Macaca mulatta: one gene and its partner. The protein of the gene in region 2 purifies or fractionates together with the protein of the main gene of each other region. This does not show direct contact. Links are inferred from orthologs where the notes say so. Each region holds a gene or a part of one and is shown on either strand. Other genes may lie near its edges.

The links.
Region 1: the proteins of PPP1R7 (region 2) and SH2D4A purify together in Homo sapiens (affinity purification with mass spectrometry; 3 studies listed by BioGRID and IntAct, counting the BioPlex papers as one, with this or other methods). This does not show direct contact. The link is inferred for Macaca mulatta from reciprocal best matches to the Homo sapiens genes PPP1R7 and SH2D4A.

Annotation. Positions count from the first base shown.
Region 1 is NC_133413.1:20,954,370-20,958,376, reverse strand, and holds the start of SH2D4A (SH2 domain-containing protein 4A), read right to left. Parts: upstream 2,802-4,007; 5' UTR 2,160-2,801; coding exon of another isoform or gene 2,114-2,159; intron 2,039-2,113; exon of another isoform or gene 1,858-2,038; intron 765-1,857; exon of another isoform or gene 663-764; intron 1-662. UniProt on the Homo sapiens protein: Inhibits estrogen-induced cell proliferation by competing with PLCG for binding to ESR1, blocking the effect of estrogen on PLCG and repressing estrogen-induced proliferation. May play a role in T-cell development and function.
Region 2 is NC_133417.1:146,420,512-146,424,556, reverse strand, and holds the start of PPP1R7 (protein phosphatase 1 regulatory subunit 7), read right to left. Parts: upstream 2,809-4,045; 5' UTR 2,796-2,808; coding exon 2,744-2,795; intron 1-2,743. UniProt on the Homo sapiens protein: Regulatory subunit of protein phosphatase 1.

The sequences.
Region 1 (4,007 bases), on a different chromosome or scaffold from region 2:
GGTTCAGTCTGTGACTCCTAATGAGTCGGTATGTGACATAATCTACTGTGAAGTGAAGGAGACTGGTGGAGCCACGGTAGAAGAAATAGAAATGAGGAAATTAACTAACCAGGGTTTTCCCACTTTCATTCCCTGACGAGAACAAATAATCATTGCTGATACGGATTCAAATGCTGAGGACTTTCCCATACTATATCAAGGGCAGCAAACCTCCAGTTATTCAAGATCCAACAAAGGAATAGCTCAGCTAACACAGCACCTTTCTTAAAAGAGAGAAATGATAAGAAGCAAGCCCACACCTGCAATTTATTCTGAACAGCAATTGCTAAAGGATCAGAGAATCTGTTGTTTTCCATGATACCATAGATTTGACCTGATTCTCACACCTTCACACTGTTCTACCATACAACTGTCTTTTGGATAACTCTGATACCTAAACAAAATAAAAAATTTTAAAGGCCTAAGATACAGCCTAAATCATAAAAATAGTAGGCCAGGCACAGTGGTTCAAAATGTAATCCCAACACTTTGGGAGGTGAATGTGGGTGGATTGCTTGAGCTCAGGAGTTCGAGACCAGCTTGGGTAACATGCCAAAACTCCATCTCTACACAAATATAAAAATTAGCCAGGTGTGGTGGCCCACACCTAGAGTCCGACCTACCTGGGAGGCTGAGGTGGGAGGATCACTTGAGCTGGAGAGTTTGAGGCTGCAGTGGGCCAAGATCGCACCACTGCACTACAGCCTGGGTGATAGAAGGAGACCCTGCCTCAAAAATGAAAAACATTAGGTCGGTGCAAAAGTTATTGTGTTTTTTTATGGCCTAAATAAATAAATAAATGTGGTTTTTGCCATAAAAAACACAACTACTTTTGCACTTACCCAATAAAATAAAAAATAAATAAAAGTATTGTGGTATGGACAGTGTAACTATAACATTAACAATACAGCTTGAATTCTAATTCTTTTAAAACAGCCAGCTCTGTGGTCGAGCTTTGTTTTCTTATTCAAACTTTATCTTATTCATCTACCAGCAAAAGAGCTGTTTTTGGAGATGAAACAAATTACCAGAGATGACAGCAATTTGGCAAGTTTTGTAAATATATACTATTCTTCAGAAATTTGAAGTTACTGTACACACAGATTTAGTATACATAGAAAATTCCACTCCTATGCCAAATCTATGCCCCTGTATGCTTTCCACTTATTTATTCACTATTTTAAAATAATGGTACCCAAGTCGTTGTTTCCATTAAACCAGCAATCAAATAAAAGCCTTTTGGGCGATGAGGAGCATCTGTTCGGAAGGGGGAGGTGCCACGCTTGCTGTTTCTCTAAGCTCCCTGGGAAGGGAAAGACAACTCAGAAAACCTACAAACTGTAGCTCCTTCCGGTGCCCGCGTAACCCCCGAGTCCAGGAGCGGGCAGGGGCGCCGCTTGGTTGAGCCCAGTGGGCACCCGGTCTGGGTCTGGGCCAGCCCCGCCGCAGCAGCCCCTGGGAGGCGGCGCTGCACGGGCCTCCGCGCGCGCCCTGACCCCACTTGGGGGCGCCCCTGGGTGCCGGCGCGCGGGGAACGCGCTGCCGGGGTGCTGCGCCGGCTGCCACTGTTTCCCGGGACTTCCCTCTTGGAAGATCTCCAGGCGCAGGTCCAGGACGTGCTCCTGCTAGGAGTCTAGAAACTCCAGTCCAGCCCGGACCCTCCCGGGGCCTGCACTCCCTGCGGGTAGAAGCACGCGCCGCGTGTCCCCGCCGGATCCCAGAACTTCCCCGAAAGTCCTCAGCTCCGGCAGACCCTCTCCCTCGAAGTTCCCCCCGCCACCCCTTGCAAGCCCCCAGACCCCGGGGACAGCCGCTCACCTAGCCAGCGGCTCCAGTCACCGGACACCGGACACCGGACACCGGATACCCGCCGCAGCCGCTCTAGCCGCCTAACCCCGCACCTGAGCCCGCCCCGGGCGGCGCGAAGGGGTGGAGGCGGGGGTGAGGCTTCCGCCCGCCCCCTCTGGCCCCTGCGCCTCCCATGCACCCCTGCAACCCCCGAGGAAATTCCCTTCCCCCTACTCCCACCCCATGCACACTCTCGCCAAAGCCTCTCCCCAACCCCAGCACCTACCAGTGCTGGGCGCCCCTGGGCAGGGTGGCCCGATCACCCGCCACATCCACTTGGCCGCCAGAAGCCGTCGGGGAAGGGAGGGAGGGAAAGGCAGAAGCGTCCCAAGCGGCGCAGGCGGGCTGAGCAAATACTCTGACCGGGACGCCAAACAGCTCCTGCAGCCGGCCCGCCCGCGCCGCCCCGCCGCGCCCACATGCCGGGTGACTAGCGGGGCGCGATCGCGGCCCCACCCGGGCGCCTGGAGGCTCTCCAGGGACAGTCGTCGGCCAGGCTGCGTGGCCTGCGCATCTCGGGCCGCCTGGTCTGCGCGCTGTCCCCGAGCTGCGGTAGTCCGGGGTAGCCTTGCTCCTCTCCTCTCTTAGTTCGTGGGACTGGGATCTGCAGTCTATGATCTCTTGGGGACTGCAGGACTTAGATTAAATCAGCAGGTCTGGGCCTTTCCATGTTTCAGAGCTCGGGGTTCCATGCGAGGTGGAGGGTAGGAGGGTGCGCGGGCCCCACTTGTTCACTCGGCTTGGGTGCCGCAGGCCAAGGCGACTCTAGAGCTTTTTTTTTCTTTCTTTTGTTGACATTAAGTAAATGATCAAACTCTTTGGCACTTGTCGGTACAGGTGTGGCTTTGTAGGACAAGATGAAGGACGGAAAAGGCTGAGAAGGAGACCGCAGTCAACACAGACCAGGAGAAAATGAAAGAAAACTGGGGAAAAAGTTAAGATGCTGAAAGGAGTCTTGTGGATTGCAACAAGAACAGGTTGGGTTGGGGCCTGAAGACATCAGGGAGGAGCTGGCAGTCCACAGTTAGAGGAAATCTTGGAGGAAAATTCAGCAGAAGCAGAGTGGAAAGGCATTTCCACTGGAGGGCATTTTCCATCCTAGAGGAGTATGTGGAAGAAAACCGCCTGCTTTGGTGAACCCCAGATTTTATGTGTTGGGAGAGATGTAATAAATAGCAAACACCAGTAGTCCTCTCCACAGACTACCTGACCTCTTCAGGAGCCTGACCTGCTGGGTTCAAACATAAAACGTCATTCCCCGCCTTTACAAACGGCAGAAGCTATGCAGTCACATCAAGCCTCGGGGCAGGCGGCATTGTCAGGAAACAAGACCCAGCTATTTAGGAACCATTCCAGGGATCCCATCAGGGAGAAATTTCTGGTCTAAGGCTTAGTTCCTACTGCAGTTTAAATGATAGCCTATGGGGTGCTTTAGGCTGGAGTGGGATTGGCCCCTGGAAAGCTACTATGGCGAGGTCGAAATGAATCCTAGCCCTGCATGGATGGATCGGTTAACTATACAGGGTGGTTTATCTGGAAAAATCCCATAGGACACTGTGACAGCCACTTACCTTTCTCATACCCAGTCTCTCTCCAGGTCCTGACAAGTCCTTCCTTATAATAGCTCTGTCACTGTGCTACTAACCTCTGTACCTCAATTTCTTCTCTGGATAGAGTGTCTGCCTCCGTAAGTTGTTAAGAGGGTTAAATGAGATACCGCATGCAAAGGGATTAGAACAGCTCTTGGCATGTGGTGAGTGTTCAAACACATTTGCTCAGATCAGTTCATATCACATTAAGGTACTATAATTCCAGGTTCCTGCTATCTCACCCTAGGCTATGGTTCTGCCCACCATGCCACTTACATTCCAAGTCATTCCCAGGGATCCCGTCTTCCTGTTATTCATACCCTTGCATAGCTCCCCGCCACTTTGTAAAGGTTGGTTTGCTTGACCAATAGAACCCGGCAGAAGTGATGATGGTATGCCACTTAGGAGATTAGGTAAGGAAACATCTTGGAGCTTCTATCTTGAAAGAATGTTAACAGCCCAAAGGAACACACACTGTACACAAATAGCACAATCAGCTCAGAACCCAGACTCTTCCCTTTTCTCTCTGCC
Region 2 (4,045 bases):
ACATGGATACTTAGGTGAGGAACACACTACTTCTGCCCTCAAGGAGCTTGTGAAGAATTGCCCAGTGTTCTGAAAGCCTTGGATCACTTGTGATTAAATCCACTAATGGAACCAGGTAGTGAAGCACCGCCTGAGTGCCTTTCGCTTTCGGGCTGGGTGACCACCACTGTGACTCTTCTGCCACATACCTCCATCCATGCTCTACTATTGATCTGGCTAAGAAAACCAGCCAAGTTCACAGGCCCACGTTCTGAAAGAAATCAAGACTAACTCAAATCAGATTGTGGGCAGGAAGGATCACTAAGGAAAAGGAGAATACAGCCAGTAGTGCTGACCGCCCACAGAAAGCTCATTGGTGTGAAATGAGCTTTCACACTGGACACTGGACAGAATGTTAGCAACTCAAGGCTTTTAAAGGTTCATAAATATTTTTTGAATTAAAGAATAAGGCAATTCAATGTGTCAGGCAAAAATGCTTTGGTAAGGTTGTCAAATCGTTTCTTTTTTATAACTTTATTCATGACCTCTTTTGGAAGTCTGTCTGGAAAACATGAGGCACTAACACATTACTTGGAATTATCAACCACACTGAAAATAGTCTCTTTCCTGACTATGGTTTGTCTACAAAGAGATGTGCTCTTTGAGGGAAAAAGTTCAATTTCAGCTTTGTATTTCCTGCTTAGCCTAGCAAAGTAAAACCCAAGAAAGGATTGCTGTATAAAACAAGTCCTCATAAAACCCAGCTCCAAACCCTCCAAACCCATCTCTTCTTCCCTACCCCCGCAATGACGGTAGCTCAGTTACTTGTTAGCTGTGGCCTGTGCTCCTGCCCTGCCTCCTAACTCGTCTCTCTGCGACTTGCCTTGCCTTGTTTAACCTATTCTCCACTGCCAGAGAGTCTGATCTAATTCTAAAATCCAAATCCGATCTTTGAGTCCAAAAGTATTTCTGGAATGCTCTTCCTGAGTTTGCAGCTTGCTGCTAGAGATGCAGGTTTGGCAAATCATTTCCATTTGAAAGCCTCAATCTCCTAGTCTGTGGAAGGGAGCTAGTATAGAACTTATGCCTCAGCGAGTTGCTGTCAGGGTTAAATTAGAAAAGGCACAAGAGCAGTTAGTACACGCATGACATGCAGTAGATATTTAACAAATTAGTCACCACCAGGCACAGGTCACTTGGTGGCCCAGGCTCAGGGAGAGAAAGTTCTTATTGCATGACAACCTGGTGCAAAAACCCCAGGAAGAGGAGTGGTGTGAGGTTAGGAGGGGCTTAGCTAATGAAGGTTGGCCAAAGTGAAGCCTGAGGGCAGCAGAGGGTCTGGAACATGCCACAGTGGATCAGAATGTAAGAAAATGACTTTGGTGTGCTGGGGACGATGGGCTGGGGAGCAGAGACAATCAATCTAGCCTAGAGATGACGAAGGTCTGAGTTAAGGTACTGGCAATGGGAATGGAGGACGCATCGAAGATTTGGAGATTATTTTTAAAAGTAAAAGTCAGAGCTCCTTGACTAATAGGACACGGGTGGGAGTGGCGACAGAGAGAAAAGCCGGGCTTTTATATTTGTCATTTACCAAGACATGCAAACAGTTGAAGAGGGAGTGGGAGGATATGAAGAGGCACTTCTTACTTAAAAAGACTCCAAGGGTATGAAGTCCAAGACCCTTAACACCACCGCCCCCATCCCCACCACATATGATTTGGTCAAACTCTCCTCCACACCCTTTGACCGCAGCTTTCTTCATCTTGAGTGATTCTTGCTCTTTTCCCTCACCTTATCCCCAACCTCGTTGCCTTCGAGTTATTCTTCAGGCTCCAGCTCAGAGCTGGCCCTGCTTGTGCAGCTCTCACCACTCCCGAACATGTCAGCCCTTTCTTCTGCACCCGCCCTCCTTCCCCAGCTCCACATTCCTCCTCCCTACCACTTTCACATGAGGCAGTGACTGCTCTTCTGGGAGGGCTGTACCCCTCACCAAACCATGGGACCCAAAAGCACTTAAGCACTTGGTGACACAACTGATTCCCCAGTTGGTGGGTGTGTGCACGCATGTTTATACACATACTGCACATGTACGTATGACCGTACCTACAGATATGTAGAGAATTATATATAAATACATGTGTACGTATAACATATACATGTATGCATTTTTTTAAATTTGTTTTGTTTTTAACAAAATGAATGAGGAGGAAGAAAGTTGAATTTAGACTTTTTGGAACTATGACAGCTTTGAAAAGAGGTATCACCTTGTGTAACTAAATGTTCTGGTTCCTTGCTACCCCTTCGCCAACAGTCCTTTCGATTTCAGGAGAAGACCCTTCTCCACCCTCACCACGCGAAGCAAGGAGCAGACTCGGGTAGATCCCAGCGCCCAGAGCCTCAGTTTCCTCGTCAGCTGACCGAGGAGGCTCCCCCGCCTGTCAATCTCAGAGGCTCGGGGCGAGGCTCCAACTGGACTGAATGGAGCTACCGCGTCCCATTCAGCCCCACCCCCGGCCTGGCCTCGCGCCGCCGCTCTACCCCTAGCTCTGGGTCCTTCCCGGCCGCTGCCGCCCCCAGGCCGGGGCTCCCCCGAGGTCCAGAGCCTCCCCCGCTCCCCCAGGTCCGGCTGTCAGCTGTCAGGGGGCCGCGCGGCGGCGGCCGGAGGCGGGACGTGGGGTTTCTCTCAGGCACGGAGCAGTTCCGGCCCGCAGCTCCCCCCGCCCGCCCGGCCCTTGGGCCGCCGCCCGCAGGGGCCGCTCACCCTCCATCATCTCCTGCGACTGTTGCTGCCCCGCGCCGCGTTCCGCCGCCATGTTGGCTGCTCTTCCCCTTTCCGGAATCTGTCGCCTCAGACCCATCAACCAATCAGGGCTCCCGCCTCAGAGTCGGCCCAGCCAATAGGATTCCGGCGCTGCGAGTTCAGCCGCGGCGCGCCTGCGTGTGCCCAGCGCCTCGTGGGAGTTGTAGTTCCGTCATGAGGCTGCGCGCCGCGCGCCGCGCCTCCCCCGGGGCAGGTAATTTCAGGCAGCGGCGCCGGAACAGTCTGGAGGCGAGAAGCTGAGAAGGAAAGCAGAGGGAGTCGAAGCGGGACGCACCGGCCGTAGCTGCAGGCAGACGGAGTGGACGTCTAAGGGTGGAGAGACGCCCTGGGCTCGAGAGTTGACTTATGTCACTGTCTCGACCTCGGAGGCGTGGAGGGGCCGCGGGCCAGGCGGATCTTTCCGTGGCTGCAAGGTGCGGGCCAGTCCTACGTGCATCCCTGAGCTTTGCGAGCCTCGCTGGCTGCGTCTGTACAATGGGCCGAACGGCAAGAGCAACAACATTCTCCCGGCGTCCAGGCGCGGATTTTACCCATGCGAAATGCCGCCTTCTCTAGATGCTCAGAGCAGGCGGGCAGGTGCGGGGCACTTGCGATGGTGGGGCCGCCAGCCAGCTGGCCGGCTCCGGGGCGCCAGCCGCGCTCCCCTTGCAAACCGTTCCCAGCCCAGTGCGGACGCTGCAGGCTTCGTCTACCCTGCGGAGCCGCCCAGCCCATGAGCGAGCCGCCCCGCGTCCTCCGCCTTCAGAAAGAGGCCTCCAAGAGGCGAGCTCTGCGATACTCACCTATTTTGATCCCGAGACTGGAGGAAACCGCAGCTGACCAGCCCGGGGGCGGAGGCGCCCATTATTGCTTTGGCCCCTCCGAAGCGCCGTAGGGGGGGGGGGAAATGGCCGGTGCGTCCCTAGCAACCGTTAGCGCGGGCTTCTGGACTCTGGCTGGCTTAGTCCCGCCCATGCGCACAAGTGGTTGGTCCGTGGAGCTTGTCAATCGGTGTGAGTCGCTGTGCGATTGGCCGGTGGGATAAAAGCGCGGAGCAGCTCCCTTCCGCGGTGTGAAGCCGGCTTGGCGTGACCCTCGCCTGACCCAGGTGAGAAACCTGCGCTGGGGAGAGCGGGCCGGGGTCCGCAATCTCCCGAGGGCCGCTGTGGGGCCTGCGCGACTCCGCGCTCCTGGCCTAGGAGGGTTCGCCGCCCGGCCCGGCCCTCAGACGAGCCCGACCCCGGGTCTCCCGCCCCTGCGCCC